Linked DNA regions of Arabidopsis thaliana. The protein of the gene in region 3 interacts with the protein of the main gene of each other region in a pairwise test. Each region holds a gene or a part of one and is shown on either strand. Other genes may lie near its edges. The genes, in order: AT2G40260, AT3G19070, FRS5 and AT4G10600.

Region 1 (4,693 bases), on a different chromosome or scaffold from region 3:
CTATGTCAAGTACATCTGTCTTCTTGTCGTTCTCTCCAATTTTCTCTTAAAGAAAGTGTCTTCTTTTTTTCTTAATTAACCTCGCAACTAAATTAAAATAAACTTTGGTTGGTTATCAGAACCGATTTGTTTTTTTTTTTTTGTTTTTTTAATACAAACAAAACATTCAGCAGACCTGATTTTTAAATTAACGGACCTTTCATATAATTTCAACTACAAATCTAAAACATAGAATAATTTATAAAACGATTTTGAAGAAGGCAAAAACTCGTCTTTATAAAAATAATAATGCTATAGCTCAGAAAGCTATGACTCGGAAGTCTTCATCTTCTTTTCTTGTATTCACTGATTTGACGTTAACGTATAAATTTTCAGACAATATCTCCATGTTAAAACAAAAATATTGCTTAGGATACTTGTTATGTGAGAGTAAACTACATATACATTGCAACGTCTAGACAAGCTTATAGACAACGTGCAATGTCTTGTAACTCTCAAAACCATATATATAGACTCTCACTAATGTATTTCTTGGTTACTATACTATTTAGAAGAAAACAAATTTCTGCTCCCAACTCGATCACAAATCATATATATTTTAAAATATGCATTTAACGATCTCGACAAAATTATGTGAATTTTTTTTTAATAAAAAACATTAAAAAATGTCTCTATTATTTCCTTAATTATGGGTCTTGTCACAAGTATGCAACGAATGATAAACAACAATACAGAACCGTCTTCCATCAACAAGTACCACAAGATCTCACTTAGAATATACGTATATAAGTTGTTATACATATTCACAGAGTGAGATCAAGGGGACTTGCCAAGACCGAAATCTTTCTCTTTTTGTGATCAGTTTGATCTTCTTTCCTAATGGTTCGGTCGAGTTTTGATGAACCTGAAGATGATAACGAAAGAGACAAACTCTTGATATCTTGATGATCATCATGTTCTTTTACTTCATCTTCTAACAAGCATTCTCCAAGATTGTCGTGTGTCCGAGGTACCTTAAGGGACAAGCTTAGATCCAAATCTTGGTCTGACTTATTGCAGTCATCAGAAAATAATAACCTCTTCCTCTTCAAAACATTCTCTGATCCTTCTGCCACTCCAGCATTCTCCCATTGATAAGAATTTAGCGTTGTAGCAATATGATCTTGTGGTATTGTTGCGGTGGAGGACTTAAGATTGGAAGAGAGGCTCTGTCCCCATGATTTGTTAAACGTTTTCATACCTTCAAGAAAACTTCTATGAATTCTTGGAACAGCTCCAGCTACTCCATTGTTATCATGAACCCCTTCATGAGAATTGATTCGAAATGAAATAGTTTTGTTCTTATCGTTAAGAATACTATTGCTAACTCCGTGATATCTCTCACCAGGCTGTGAGCTAAACATTGTTTGTCTTGTTCTTGTATTTTCTCGTGTCGTTAATCCTCTCCAAGGGCTACGGTAGATCTGTCGTCTGTGGTCAGTCCACGAACCACCACCATATCTATTGAATACATTCCAAGTTACACACACGTAATTTTAACTTATAGTTTAAAGATAGCTAGCTGAAGAGTTTGTAAATACCCTAAACTAGAAGAAGGCCTTTGATCAAAACTTTGTAGCATTGGAAGTTGGCTAAGGTTGTAAGTGTAACCAGCTCCGTGTTCAAACGAAAATCCTTGATCTCCTGTAGTTATAAGAAAAGATAAAACACGAGAGACAAGAATTAGTCAATTTCTCGTCGAATTCAATTATAAGATTTATAGAAGCCCTAACTTAAATCAGAAGGTAGAAGAAAGCTAAGTAAACTACCTTCATTAGGCTCATCGGTCTTCTTGCTTCTGTACATCTAAGAAGAAAAAAAAATGAAGTATGATTTCAGATGAAGATCTCAATGATGTATATAGATATATACTCTATGTGTATGTGGATATTTGCAAAACCTGAAGATGACTCTTAACATGGGCAATACTTAGCCCCTTGACGTTCATCAATTGGAGAACAAGCTTCGGTGTTGCTCCTGTTTCAACAAAATCATTGAAAGAGACCCCAAATAAATATCAACAAGAAAACCCTAGAAATTTAGAGATCTTCACATATGCAATGATCTTGATATTGATTCATATATATAATTGAAACTCAACTATCTGGGCCACCCAATCTCTCCACAGCTTGAAGAAAGCAAATATGGAGCTCCGGCGTCCATCGCAGCCTCGGAGTCTTTGAGCGGTTGTACGGCCTCACGGATCCTCCATTCTTCTTGTTCTGATCATGGTGGTGACTCCCACTCTCTTCCTCATAGCTATTGCTAGATGGGCTCTGATCTCCAGATCTCTCTTCTTCATCCTCTTCGCCTTCTTCATCATCCTCTTCATCTTTATCTTCTTCATTCTTGGTGGTTGCTTTGATGTTGTTAGATAGACAAGTCTTGGAGTTTTCAGAATTTTGGCTGCTTGATCTCATCTTGGTCTCTAGCTATTTGGCTGTTTTTGTGTTGTTTGTTTTGAGGTTGAACCTTTTTGGTCTATCTTGGAGTTCTCTGGACAAAGATCAAACAAAGATCACACACTCATACATATGTGTTAGGAATTTAAGGTGAAGACTTTTGATGGTCTATGTGTATGACTTTTTGGATGCTTGTATCCATCATTCCTTTTTCTCCCCCTCTCTCTCCAACTCAACATATATGTTGAAATATGTATATGATGGCAACGGATATTCTAAATTCTATTTAATATATAGCTTTTTATTACACCAATGGTTTTTTCTACAGTTATATACATCTTAGGGAAAGATAGATCTAGAATTACACCTCATGACAAAAATGGTACTTTTAATTTCATTAAACATTAGTAACTTCAGTCATAAGATGTATTTTAAAATGAGTTAATAACTATTAAGTCAATTAGTACAATTAATCTTTGAATCTCGTTGTGATAGGGAGTGAAAAGAAATTCCAAGGAGTAGATTGAATTTATCTAAATAATGATCATTTTCATGGTAAAAGATCAAACGTTTTCATGATATCAACCCGTACGTATACCAATTTTATGACATAAATCAGGGTTCAATATGACATGTACATTAACAATTTTTTTTGTTCTTTCTTTCAAAACCAACTGAAGATCTATGTTTTTCATTGGATTTGGTACGTGTTTTTGTTTCATTCGAACTAGCTTTTAGCAATATAGGAAGAAGGCAACATTAATGAGGCATACACATTAATTAGATAAATGAAACTTCTTCCATCGTTACAACTCATGAATTAAATTGACTAGAAAAGCAAAGCATAAAAGGGGATGGTTAGGGGGATGGGCTCGTGACTTCAAAGCCAAAGCTGTGAAACCAGAAAAAGAAGAAACCCAAAAGCATAATTAGATAGATAGACAGAGAAAGAGCATAGAGAGAGGAATCAGACAGAAGTTAAAAGGTGCTTGGCTGGGCTGTCTTCACTGAAAGACACGAGAAGAAAATATTACTACTTGTTTCTGTCACCAACGACAATCACGGGTTTGTCTCCATCTCCACTACTCTTACGATTTCATATTATCTATAATTATCTACACATGCGCCTCTCTCTATATACATGCAAATAGTACATCTCTTTTTCTATATATAACCCAAATAAATGTTAAAAAATAAATAAATAAATTAGGATACAGAATATAACAACTGAAGCTAATAAGTCACATGATTATCACAGAATTGAACTTGAGAATTATATGAGTTTCTGTACGTACACACATGCAACCAATTGATTTAGTTTGGAATTCAGTTCAGGGGTGATTAGTTCGTTCTATATAGCGTACGTACTATTAAAATTACTAGTAAAATACTAAACAAAAGATATGTTCTAATTAAGTATGTCATACTTTTATTTTTGTGAAATTAAGGAAGTAGGCAAAGTAGGGGATGTCATACTTTTTTAAGAACTTAGAAAGGAGAAAATTAAAATGTATAATATATGATTTACTTATTGTCATGAACTTTGCGCCTCCAGGAGAGGGTCAAGGCAGAATTGTATCTATCTGTATTCCTCTAACATCAGCAGGCTAATTTTTCTTGTAAGCGACATGCAAGTACTGTGTCAAATTTTGTGAATGGTGACCAGATAATGTGAAAGTCATCGGTCAAATAAATTAGGTATATGACATTTCTTTCTGTTTTTTTTTTTTTTTTCAAAATCGTTTTTGGAAGCCCAATGTCCAGCCGTAATCGTATATTTTCGTCGTCGTTATTAATTGGTAGGAAGAATTAAAGCTGTCGTATATTTTGGTTTTAAAAGTGTAGCAATAATAATTTACGTTAGAATGACGTTCTTCATATCTACCCTATAATCCTACTTCCATGCTCAGACAACCCATGATCAATTATACGACCCAACAGATACCAAATGCTAAGTATTAATATCAATCACGGTATTGACAAAAAAAGGGTATATTAACTACGGTATTGATTTACTAAGTTATATAATCCGTTGAAATTGACCACGACACTATGCTAATTCATTTTCCTTGACACATATATGAAATGAACCAATCAAATTCTAAGCGTGGACCAAAGTCTTCGTGTTTTATGTCTCTCAACTTTTAAAATTTCGGTACCTATAAGGCTATAACTTTTTTATAATATAGGGTTTGAACTGAAGATCTGAGATTGTAGAAACTATATACGCAGTGTACACTAGACCGAAGAAA
Region 2 (3,420 bases), on a different chromosome or scaffold from region 3:
AATGTCAAGACATACCCTTATGGGGGGAGAGAGGCTGAGACTTATCTGTCAAAATTAAGAAAAGAAGGAGAAGCTAAACAAATTTTTCTACAGCCTGCACCAGCAATGGTGGTCTCTCTTAAGGTCCCTTACAATATAAAAAAAAAAAAAATAATTAAAATGGAAGGGACACAGGAGAGAAGGGCTCCAAAAACCCTTATATAAGGGACCTGAAGATTAAATGTACATGTGTAGGTTTTTTAGTTGTCAAACTATGTTAAAAAATTAAAATATTATTATTTTTTGGTTTTTTAGGGACTGTCATCATCCCACCCATTGGGGTTGCTCTAATAGATTGTGATAAATGATCACTCATGCGTACAGTAAGAATGTTATTATGGTTAACTTTTTTTTTTTTAATAACTCCAACATTAACATAAATTCTATTATGATATAGTAATTGTTTGTAATATGCAAGATTAACAACAAAAGAAAAAGAAACGTTCTATACTATCACTCTTTCTATTTAATCCTATCTCTCATCTTCAATATTTTCTTCACTCCAAGGCTAATTTGTCTGCAATAGCCTTTTGACGATCCCGCAAGACTTGTAAGTGGCTACGGATCTGGTCACCAGTGAGACCCTCTTCAGAAATTAGTTCGTTTATGGCTTTGGGTGTTGCACCTGAAAAAAAAAAAAAAAATTAGGAAAATAGTTAGGAGTTGAAAGAATAAACAAAATAAATAAAAAAATTATAAAGTTGCATACTGAATAATCCCCCAAGTCTGACAACTGCGTCATCAAACACTAGTTGAAGCCTATTTGTCCACACCAAGTCTGGGTTTCGGATTGGGTTTGGGATTGGGTTAGGGTTAGGATTAGGGTTAGGGTTTGGGAATAGAGCAGGTAGGCCTGGAGAGATCTGTGGTATTGGGTTTATGAAATTTGGTATTGTTGGTTCTTGGGCCTGCGGACGGAGAAACGGGTTAACAAACGGTGACGGAGAGGAGGATAAAGGTGACGGAAAGATGTTACTAAGCCGTGCTCGCTTAGATGATGATGATTCGGGTGGCTGAATAGAGGATGATGGTGACGACGGAAAGAATTCCCTCAAAGATGGTCGATCAGACGAATCGGGAGGTCGAACAGAGTATGGCATTGACGACGGAAAGAACGAAGATGTTGCGAGAGTTGAAGATGAAGATGGCTGATGAGAGTATGACACTGACGACGTAAAGAATTCCCTCAAAGATGCGGGTGGTTGAAGAGAGGAGGATGACATCGACGGTGGTTGAAGAGACGGTGACGATGATGTTGCGAGAGTTGAAGATGACGGTGGTTGATGAGAGTATGACACTGATGACCGAAAGAAGTCTATCAACGGTGCGGGTGGTTGAAGAGAGGATGATGACGATGGTGCGAGAGTTGACGATGACGGTGGTTGAAGAGAGGAGGATGACATCGATGGTGGTGGAAGAAAGTTCTGACGGAGATCCATAAGTAGAGCAATTTCTGCGTTTCCAAGACCCAACAAGATTTGAGAATGAGAGAGGAACAACTTTAAATTACAAGGTGAAGGAGAAGAAATTAACCTGCTTCTCTCGCGGTACTCCGATCTTGAATTATCTTCGCCGCATCTTCATCTTCATCTTCTTTCGTCTCTTCATCCAACTTTTTTAAATGCTCATCTATCTTCACGATTTTCTGAGAATGTGATTCAATAGAACTTAGCTCTTCAAGAAACTCATCAAGATTAGTCATGGCTTGCAACTTAAGAAATTTGATTCATCACGTTCTATATATATATAGGAGGAATAATTTGCAGATGGAATCACAAATTTACCCTCTCTAGAGAGAGCAAAAATACCCATACTGTTGAGAATTACTAAAAACCCACATGTTATGATGTTAACGCAGATATCAATATAAATGTTTGCTCTAGCAATCCAAGGAAGTGAGCTTTATGAAAATCGAATTCAGGCGTACAGAGAACTGATTACTTTCTTGGAAATACATGTTTCCAATAATTATACATCATGCTGCATGCGTGTGATTTTTCTTATTTTCTCCATTACTTTGCTAACTCTAAAATGGTCTCAAGTTACTTTGCTCTCAACTTTTAAAGCTATCAACTCCAGTATAAAATAAATTAATAAATATTATACAACTTAAGGTTATGTAACATACCAAGCAATTAGGACGTACATTAATTGGTATATTTCTCCTGATTTCATATTTGTAGCCTAACTAATAAAACTGCAATTATTTTATATTAAAAACAGCGTACACGGTACATCAATGCAGTTTCTAGCTTCGTGCATGGTGAAAGTTGTTTTTGCGGCCGATCTGATTTTCATAAAAAAAAAAAAAAGGATTTTCCACTATGAATCGGTTGCTACAAGCCTACAACTTTTCTTCTTAATATATGAAGCATTTATAATAATAAAAATAGGTACATGCAGATCAGATGATAAGATGTCCCATATATATAGATAATACCCTAGCTAGGTCGGGTTGATGTTGAAGAAAAAACAAAACCCAATTAACCGCGTTTATTGCATGTAGCATGAAGTTTATGTGATCATCAGTTCTCATAGATCCTCGTCAGCCTTCCTCTTCCTCATCTCCCCGAGTAGAGTTTGCCTTAAACTATTAAAGTAAAAGTAATCATTAAACGGTTGATAATGATCATAATTAATCATCTAAGTCGTCAATATCATTAAAAATTTCTCTAAAAAGTCGTCAATTGTTAAACTTACTTTTCTAAAACCTTACGCGCCTCCGCTCTTTTTATGGAGCGAATCCTAGCCCTCTCTTCGACAATCGCCTTGGCTACACGAATATGAAACACATAAAGATAAAAAAGGAGAATAAAATAGAAAGAATGATCAAATAGATACTCTGAATAAATACCTATCTTTAGATAGGCCACCTCCTCCTTAAGTTGTGCAACATATTCATCAATTCTGGATATTATTTCCGGAAATGATTCGATTTTTGAGATTTCTTGCTCGAACTCATTACAATCCTTCCAGCTCCTGGGGATTGAAAGCAAAGGGAAGCTTGGGAGAGAAGAAAGGATTTTAAATCAGAGTGGAAAAAACACATTAAAAACCTAGAAATTACCTCTTCTTAAAGTATCCTGGACGAGGATGACGAATTAAGAATAAATGTGAACGGGCCTGTCGGATTTCAAATGTGTAATGCGAGTGCACCATCTTGAGAACGAGATCTGTCGTCTCTCTATTATAGTCTTCTTCTCTTTTGCAACAAAGTTTACTTTTGTCGTTGAATTTAATGATAGGGATAAGATCAATAATATCAGTGTTATTTAAAAATACAAAGATTGTATTTATTGGAGTACTAGGATCTTTAGTAAAATCTAAACAAACTATAATTTAGATTTCAATACTGAAATTCTAAACAGAGTTTATATATTT
Region 3 (5,478 bases):
CCAAGTATGTCGAGGAAGGTGCCAAATCTATTCAGATCTATAAAGTTGCAATGGATGCTTTGGATGAAGCTGCCAAGAAGGTTGCTGCTGCAAGTAACAGAACACCTGGAACTAGGCTTCCCAATGGGGAAGCTTACCCGTCCGAGGAAGCTCGAGAAACAGCAAATGCAACGAATCATCCAGGGGTAAGCGAATACTGGTATTTGATAATTCTTTAACATTGATGTCCTCTGTTCCTTGGGAATAAGTACTTACTTCAATGCCAGGGTGAAAAAGAGAGGACGATACTTGAACTGACAGCTGAGTTGGAGAGGACAGGCCAGCGATGTGAAGTTTATCGAGCAAACCTGCTGTCTATTTTGAGAGATATGGAAGAACAGAAGTTTCAGCTATCCCTCAAGGTACAAAATGCTAGACTAAGCTTGAAAGAGTGAGTGCAATCTGCTGGATACATAACATCACAATTCAACTCACGTACTGTGGTTGGTAACTTGGTATGCAAACATTTATGGGAATCAACTTCATGCTCTTACTCAGTAAGGAAATGATTGGGAGTACAATCTATTACAAAGGCTACCTACTGTAAGAACAGGGAAATCCTGAAAATTGGGTCCCTCTTTCAAAAACCCTATAAGAGATATAGTACATGAGCAATATGTTATAGATGAGAATAGCAGTCGGAATTTGTTGCTTGTTTCACAGATTATCCTTCAAGCTAATTTTGATGTTCTGCACTTTGATGGACACTTGTAACTTTTGGTCTTCCATTTCTTTCAAAACTGAAAGTAGGTTAGTCCTGTAAGCTTCGCATTTCCTGTTTGCTAATTCCAGCTCGTTTCTGAGCTGATTAATCTTCTTGTCCATTTCGTCCTGCGAAAGTAGAGGAAATACGGTCATGCAATTAGTCAGCAGTAAAAGCACATAGCAAAATTGAGGACCTTGCAGATTGTACGGAACAAAGGCTCACAATGGCAAAATGAAGACCATACTCTTAACATGCATATGTGAATCACGAGCTCATTAGTCAAACGTTAACAGAGCAATCAGCATTATGGTACCGTCAAGGAGACAAAGCAATGATTGTATTGTATGGGGCAAACCCGCACAAACGATACTTCAAACGTATATAACTATTTTTTAGAGCAACAAATTTGATTGCTATTATATCAAAAAGAAAACAAGTATCGAAAAGAAAATGATCCTCACCTCGGGCTCAGGTTGCGCCAGCACTTCTTGCTGATGTTTTCCACCAGTTACAGAACTCGCTTTAAAATGCCTGTTCGCCATAGTTCTTCTAACTTCCTTATTCATTGCCAGGGACACAGTCTTGGCAGCTTCTTGCAGAGCAACAACTGCGACATCACAAGTATACAGAGATTTTCCAGCTTCTTGCACAAAATTAGAAGCTTTGTGACGTAAGGTGTTGTATCGGACGGTATGAGACTCCAGGTAATTAGCATACGCATGCAAATTATAATCATCAAATATAACACTGCTTTTGGCATTTCTGGTCCATCTTTTTAGGATGTAGTAAGGTGGAAGTGTAAGGAGATTGGTGACCCGGAAGACTGCCAATATATGTCTGCAAATGATGCCAGAGAACTCAAACATCTGGCAACTGCAATTTGCTCTCATCTCCAAAACGTTGAACTTAACGAAATGAGCCTTGTGAGCCTCTCCATATTTCGCAACCTGGTAGGTAACAAGATCCCCATCATCGTCAGCTTTGGATGCCATGAAAGTCAGGGTTCCAACTAGTTCTTCCTGAAATCTCATAAACAACTTCCTTGTGTAAAGTTCAGACGCCTGCTTCTCCATTGGAGATGGAGTCTTCAGAACAGGAGGTGAGTTCATTGTGTCATAATCTGCTTTAACTTCTTTCTCGAGACGACTCTCCAAAGCTTTTTCATACAGCTTAAAGAACTGGCTTAGATTGGTTGAAGCGTTTATATAACCATCAAAATATGAATTGATACTATCACTACGATGAGTTAAGGACATGTCGGCAAAAAAGGTATCACGGAGATATACTGGGACCCACTGCCGGCGATCGGAGTATATTGCTTGTAGCCACTCATGATCTCTTAGCTCATACTTGTCAAGAAGTGAAAACCAGCATCTCTCAAAATCCTCAACCGACTCTGTCAGATTGACACATTTGTGGAAATCTGACTCAAACGAAGGATGCTTGAGGAAGACATGCGACAGCTTCTCCTGACATTTCTTTAAAATATGCCATTTGCAAAAGCGATGGCGGGCACCAGGAAAAACGTGCATGATGGCTGCACGTATAACAGCATCATGATCGGTGGTGATTGAGACAGGAGGGTGGGCGGACATTGCGGCTAGCCACGTATTGAAAAGCCATACAAATGAAGCCTCAGTTTCATTGATGATAAAGGCACAGCCGAAAAGAATGGGTTGGCCATGGTGATTTACACCAGTGAAGGGTGCGAAAGGCAAACGGTACCTGTTGGACCTGTAGGTTGTATCAAATGTAACGGTGTCTCCAAAGTGAGTGAAATCCATTATAGCTTTAGGATCAGCCCAGAAGACATTACCAACAGACTGATCTTCGCTTCCCTGAACAGAATAAAAGAAGTTTGGGTTGTCAGCATTCATCTGCCTCAAGTAGTCAAGAAGAAGCTGAATCTCTCCTTCTATGCTCTTCTGGCGGTTGTTCCTCATATAATTCCTACAGTCCACTTCGGTGAAACCAACCTTGCTGATGCCACCATACTCTTTGATGAGGGCGGACATGATTCTGCGGGGACCCATTCCTGCAGCTTGAAGTGTGTCAATCAAAGTCTTGGCAGGGCCAGAGATTTGCCTGTGGGAACGCAGACAGTGAACTTGGTCGGGAGGAACAAGCTCATGGTTGTGGTCTTTGACAAAGCCAGAGACAAGCCATTTACCGGAATCCTGCATCTTAACAGAGAGGGAGGCTTTGCAACCGACTCGAGTGATGGTCCTGGGACGCTTGATCTCCCTGTCCTTGGTGCGCTTTTCATTCATATTTCTGAAACCTTCTTTGGCACAGACAAATTGCCTCTGGATGATAGCTCCATCACGGCGGGAGCGGCGGGAGGAACTGACACGGGTACTAAAGCCAATGCGACGGGCATACGAGTTGTAGAATGCCTTGGCAGCTTCTTCGGACTCGAATTCAAGACCATCATAGGGCTCGAGATCCAGGAGATCACAAGCCTCCTCCTCCTGGTTGGGAAAGTAATTTCCAGAATTGCCAACAAGACCATTACCGCAAGGCATAATTGGGCTGTCGAGCATATCATCGTCGTCGAGAGCATGGTGCTCAATATCAATAGCGTCGTCATCAACATCTCCGCCACTACTAACTCCTACACCAATATCGAAGTCGAGCACTTCATTATCCATCATATCCTCCTTGTCTTCAGGGATGAATTCTATCTATCTATTGTCCACAACAGGATGAAATAGCTAGCTACTGTAGATAGAACCACTTACAGTCGTGATTTGATTTCAAGTCTGAGATTGAGATTGGGAGGCAGCGAAGACGAGGGAATGCGCGTTCGTGCGCGGGAGAAACCAGAAAAGAAGAGATAAGGGAACTTGTAATTGATTACGTTATAATAACCGAAGAATGAAAAGGAAGATGAGAGACGACGGAGGAGGGAGACTGGGAATAGAGTCGTCGGAGGGCACGGAGGAGGAAGACAGACGGTGCTTCTAATTCTCTTTTTTTAATTTAAGCAAGGCCCATTCCTTCTTCATTTATTTTATAAGGCCCATTCCTTCTTCATTTATAATTTTATAAGGCCCACTCCCTCTTCATTTACTTTATAAGGCCCATCCTCTTTTACGCTTACCGTATGGTTCACTATCAGTTGCGAGTGGAGGAGAGGAAAAATTGACTTTTAAAGACGAAATGATTGATACAAAGGCTGATTTATACAGTCATGACATCTCAATCCAGATATACATGTAGTTATCTGAAAATTTACTACCAGGAACAAAAACAAAAACAAAAAGAAACAAAGATAGTATACGTATTAATTTCTTGTGATTAGTCTACAAAACTCTCAAGTCGCCTATATGAATGCTTTTTTAATTACGGGAATTGAAAACCACCGCCTCCAACACCCTCTGCAGCAGCTGCAGGTCCGGTGTTTGGGTTTATGGCCGTCCACAGTAGAGAGATGGTGATGGCAATGAGACCTGCCCACACAAAAACTATGGTTGGAGTTTTGCCTCTTCGTCCCATCAATCCTTTTGCAAATGGATACAAATGCGCCAACACCCAGAAGCTGAAAAATGCTCCTCCGATTAGCTTGCTCCATTGTGGCACCGCTTGGTATATTGTCCTGATGAACGCCACCACAATCGCTATTATGTTCACCATTGCTATCACTATAGGCGGTATCATCAGCGACGACCATTTCACTATGTACAAATCCGCGTATATGTCTTCATTGTCATCTCCCCCTGACTTGGTCGTCAAGGTAAAGGAGATCTCGATCCCTGCAATCACTTTGAGGACTCCTTGGACCACTGCGTAAAGGTGAGAGCTTGTTCCTGAGATGAGCCACCACTGTTCGTTTCTCCACCATTCTTCCAGCCCAATGCCAGACCACTTGACCTCCAAAACCGCCAATCCAATCAAACAAATGGTGATCATAAGAAGGTAGACCAAGAAGGAGATACTGAGCGTCCGCACGATGAACTGTCCAGAGAAAAGAGAGAATGCCGGAAGAAAACAATAGAGGATGAGAAACAGAGACGTGAAAGGGTATATCCCAACATTGAGGTATGCGAGACGTTGGAGGAACTTGAGACGTTTGGAGGCGAGAATGGCGTTGTTTCTAGAGAAGAAGATCTCAACAGACCCAGTGGCCCACCGCAACACCTGGTGAAGACGATCCGTGAGATTAATGGGTGCAGAGCCTCGAAAAGAATCTCGCTTAGTTATGCAGTAAACCGAGCGCCACCCACGATTATGCATGCGGTATCCTGTGACCACGTCCTCTGTCACCGACCCATAAATCCATCCAACTCTATCTCCCCACTCCGTTTTATCCTCATACCAACAAGAGATTACAGAAACAGACTCTGCGACAGTGGTAGCATCAAGTGGGTCACGAGGGACTCTAAGGGCTCCGGGAGGACGACCGTACTTGACAGCCGGGTGGTCTGCCAATGGACGACCTTGGAACTCTGCAATTGGAATTGACTCAGCTAGGAGTGTGGAGTTCCCAAAGCGCTTGGGGAGTTGTGTGACATCAAGGTCCGGGTCAAAGTCACTGGTGGTTAGAGCCTCTGTTTCTGATTCCTTCTTCTCAAGAAGCTTGTCAGGGTTGGGTGGATCAAAACCATAGAGAGCAAAGCGCCTAAACATAGTACCTGTTCCAACATAAACTGGTCCCTGGAAAAGAAAAACAGAGAATCATTTATTTTTTGGTAAAGGATCTTTATATATATATCTGTCTATAGTTGGTTTGC
Region 4 (3,838 bases), about 11 Mb from region 3:
TCCTATCGAGTTCGGATTAAGACTTTGATAATCTATAAATACTTGAGTTGACTTATAATTATCATGATAAAGTTGAGCGGTGGTAGTTCAAAGAATTTTTAGTCTCAATCCATATAAGAAAGGATAGGAACAGAATGCATTGATCCATTAAAGGAATGTCAAAAAATTTCAATATCACTACATTTAAGGAATGTCAAACTTCTTCTAACTACTTTTTTAACTACCAAAATCTGAACAATTATCAGTTTCAAAATCAATCTCCTAACAATCCCCAATTTATGAAGGCTTATAGCAAAAATAAAGACTTGTTTTAATTAATTTGGACACAAAAACCCCATCTTTTTAAATTAAACTTTTGCTATCATCCTTCATAAACTCTTGTTTATTTTTTATCCGTCTTTTTAGTGAAATAGATCATAATAATATCATTTTAACTCCCAAAATTTTTCTAATTACCTTTTTAACTACCCAACATCAATCTCCTAACCATCAACATAATATAACAAATTATGGTTATCCACCAAATTTCTTTATATCGTCAACTGTTCCAAACTATCCTTCATATTTTAAAATATTTAATTTTTACTTATTTTAATTTTATTTGATATTAATTGTAATTAATTAATCACAAAAAACATAAACATAATTAAAATAAAAAATATAAAATAATGGTAGGGTAATGTGTTGTAATTTTATTAAACAAAACTATTGTAGTAAGTAAAAATTATGTAGGTATTGAATTATAATGTGGAGTGTTGAAAAGAGAAAAGTGGACATTGTAACCATGTAACTAATGTAGATAGTCTAACAGGTACACTAGTTGTACATGTTATTTTATCAACAATAGTTCTCTTCCTACTAATTAGAACAATTCAAGTCTAGTATCCATATATTATAATATAACATCTTACTAGTGCATGGGTTATTCAAAGATTCAATGATCATACAAAACATAAATCTACAAACTAAAATTCCCAAATAAAAATCATAAATCAAAGCCATCTCATTGAAGTTTCAGCTTTAACAAACACAAAATTAGCATAAAAACGATCAAAGAAAAAAACCTAAAAATCAAAACTTCAACTTCCAATATCTCTATTCCAATATCTTTCCTTCGATTTTTCTGTATGTCTTCCAAATTCTTTTTGTTTCCCTAATTGCTCAAGAAGTAATATCTTCGTCATTCTGTTTTTATTCAAGGTACATAGAAAGATTGATCCTAGACTACATCAAATTGGGTGTAGTCAGTGATATAGCTTCCCCGAAGTTAGCGGTTTTCGAAATCTTTTTGAAGCGGTTTCATATGATCGACCCAGAAGATTTTGGTACTACGACGTGACGAGTGGTTTTCAGAAGAACACATCTTCTACACGTGTCTTTAGGCTAAATTATACGTGCAAATATTTTTGCTAACTTCATTATGATTTAGTTATTTGACCGTTAATTTCCGCTTGTATTCCTCTTTGAGCTTGACCATTCTGTTTTTTATCTGCTTTTGGTTTTTAAATGAAATCGTTTGGTCCGTCCACAAAAAAAAAACAGTACCTATCCTCTAAGCCCGGCCCATCCCGGCCCATCCCGGCCCATCCCGGCCCATCCCGGCCCATACCGGCCCATATTTTAGTAATTATGGTTCCTATCTTCGTCTTCTTCGTTCAGAAATGGGAAGCGAGAACCATAGATTTACGTCAAGATAGCTTTTTTTCTATCAAGAATCGCAAAGCTATTTCGCGTAACATTACAATCGTCGTTCAGAAGAAACGAATTGGGTTTGACAAAGCTTCGATATTCAGGGAGATTTCTGGGTTAATTTGTGAAAGAATCAGAGAAATTTAGAGTTTTTTTTTTGGGGGTAAATTTGAGATGAAGCCACACGAAGATTGGGTTTATGAATCATGGACAGTAGATTGTGTTTGTGGTGTGAATTTTGATGATGGTAAAGAGATGGTTGATTGTGATGAATGTGGTGTTTGGGTTCATACATGGTGTTCTCGTTATGTTAAAGGTGATGATTTGTTTGTTTGCCACAAGTGTAAGATAAAAAACAATGAAGATGAATTGTCCAAGTTATCGGTTACTAAATCGTTGAGAATGGAGAATTTATGTACGCAGAGTAGTGAGAGTGTTGTATTGAAGGCTTGTTCAGAGATACCAATTGAAGAAAGGGTTCATGTACAAGGAGTTCCTGGTGGTGATTTGGGTTTGTTTGAATGTGTTTCTTCGGTTTTTAGTCGGCAGTTATGGAAGTGTAGTGGTTATGTGCCTAAGAAGTTTAGGTTTCAGTGTAGGGAGTTTCCTTGTTGGGATGAGAAGGAGAATGTGTGTGATGTTGTTGGGGATGAAGATGATAGTAATCTTGCTGGTGTTTTGTTGTCTATGTCGAAAGAAAACGGTGTGGATGGTAAGGGAGACAATGCTAGGAATTGTGGTTCTAGAGAAATTGAGAGTGATGTAGAGAAAGAGAAGAGCTTGCTTTGTGATCCTTTGAGTATATATAAGAGGAGAAACGAGTCGGTGGGTGGTTTTGAAGATGGGGTAAAGAAGAAGGTTAAAGTTGCTGATAAAGAGGAAGAATAATGATGTAAGAAGGCTTTGATTTGGATACAGAAGAGGCATTATGTGTTACACAACCAACATTTCTTATTTTAATAGATTTCTTACACAAGAATGGTAAGGTTTATAACTTTGTCACTAGTTTAGATTCTTAACCTTATATTCAGATATAACCACAATGGTTCATGGTTTCATTTGTCTTTGCAATCAACTAACAGTTGTAGGATACTTAACATCCACATAATATGCAATAAAAAGTGTAAATTCTTTCCATTGATGATAAACTCGATTGCTTGGTTTATAAGTTTGTGTAGGTCAAATTAGGAGCAAGAAAGGCTTGTTTTATCTTGATGATTAACTCAATCTTAGTCATTCATGTGAGCGGTTCGCAGTTTCAGGATTAGTAGGCGCTCAAAATCTTGAAGGCTTCGCGGACTCTCCTCGCCCTCCGTCCTTCCATAGATGAAGTTGAATTCTCTGACAATTCTCACCATGAACAATTTTAGGTGATTTCAAATAGATAAGAAAGCTCTTGTTGGAAGGCAGTGCACTAAAGGGTCCTGATATCCTACTTGTATTCCAAAAAACTCTTCTCTTGAATATGAAAGGCTGCAAAGCGTTGGTGCGACTTCCAAATTGTTTCCGGAACTTACGGAGTATATGCAGAATTTTGTGCTTTATGGAACAAGAATAAACTTGAAATGCCAAAGTTATTGCATTGCATTGAGTCTGTTTTATGCTTAAGTGCAACTGTGCAAGCTAACATCAGCCATCTGATATGGCTTTACTTCAAGAATCGCTAGAAGCTCAAATCTTAAGTGCCACATGGTTTATGTTTGATGTTTTGTGTCGCTTGGTAGGCACATATTTAGTGGCCATTGTTGTAGGATCCAAATCGCTAAGTAAAAGAAAAGTCTCAATTCTATATGAAACTCATGTAAATCCATTAAAACTCATTGGAGAAAAGCCCTTAATTATCCATATAAGCCCGTAACGAGAGAGTAAACCTAAAATTTCGTTAGACAAAAAGAAAACCCTAGCCGATTAATATCCTTATAAATAGATAGGTAGTCTCCTTAATTTTCTCCTTAGTCAAAATCTTAGAGAGAGTCCGAGGAAACCCTAGCCACCGTCGTTGCCGTAACTCGTTCGCCTGAGGATAATGATCAATTGGGTTTATGCTAGAGTTAAATCGGGTCTTGAAAAGAGAAGGAAGTTGCATGCGACTCCTTTATCTCCTCAGCACCCTATCCAACTCTAACTTCAACCCAATCGATCATTTTTC

The links.
Region 1: the proteins of FRS5 (region 3) and AT2G40260 interact in a two-hybrid assay, tested with the Arabidopsis thaliana proteins (one large-scale study listed by BioGRID).
Region 2: the proteins of FRS5 (region 3) and AT3G19070 interact in a two-hybrid assay, tested with the Arabidopsis thaliana proteins (one large-scale study listed by BioGRID).
Region 4: the proteins of FRS5 (region 3) and AT4G10600 interact in a two-hybrid assay, tested with the Arabidopsis thaliana proteins (one large-scale study listed by BioGRID).

What each region holds. Positions count from the first base shown.
Region 1 is NC_003071.7:16,816,015-16,820,707, forward strand, and holds AT2G40260 (Homeodomain-like superfamily protein), read right to left. Parts: upstream 2,717-4,693; 5' UTR 2,460-2,716; coding exon 2,141-2,459; exon of another isoform or gene 2,017-2,140; coding exon 1,940-2,016; intron 1,846-1,939; coding exon 1,809-1,845; intron 1,684-1,808; coding exon 1,581-1,683; intron 1,501-1,580; coding exon 804-1,500; 3' UTR 516-803; downstream 1-515.
Region 2 is NC_003074.8:6,592,094-6,595,513, reverse strand, and holds AT3G19070 (Homeodomain-like superfamily protein), read right to left. Parts: upstream 1,742-3,420; coding exon 1,573-1,741; intron 1,493-1,572; coding exon 749-1,492; intron 665-748; coding exon 537-664; downstream 1-536. Other genes in the region: AT3G19055 (uncharacterized protein), read right to left, coding at 2,572-2,623, 2,740-2,812, 2,894-3,018, 3,107-3,198.
Region 3 is NC_003075.7:17,906,006-17,911,483, forward strand, and holds FRS5 (FAR1-related sequence 5), read right to left. Parts: upstream 3,739-5,478; 5' UTR 3,400-3,738; coding exon 1,207-3,399; intron 871-1,206; coding exon 697-870; 3' UTR 509-696; downstream 1-508. Other genes in the region: FRS9 (FAR1-related sequence 9), read left to right, coding at 1-185, 267-434; CSLD4 (cellulose synthase like D4), read right to left, coding at 4,091-5,401. UniProt on the Arabidopsis thaliana protein: Putative transcription activator involved in regulating light control of development.
Region 4 is NC_003075.7:6,546,673-6,550,510, reverse strand, and holds AT4G10600 (RING/FYVE/PHD zinc finger superfamily protein), read left to right. Parts: upstream 1-1,632; 5' UTR 1,633-1,863; coding exon 1,864-2,577; 3' UTR 2,578-2,670; exon of another isoform or gene 2,671-2,842; intron 2,843-2,945; 3' UTR 2,946-3,276; downstream 3,277-3,838.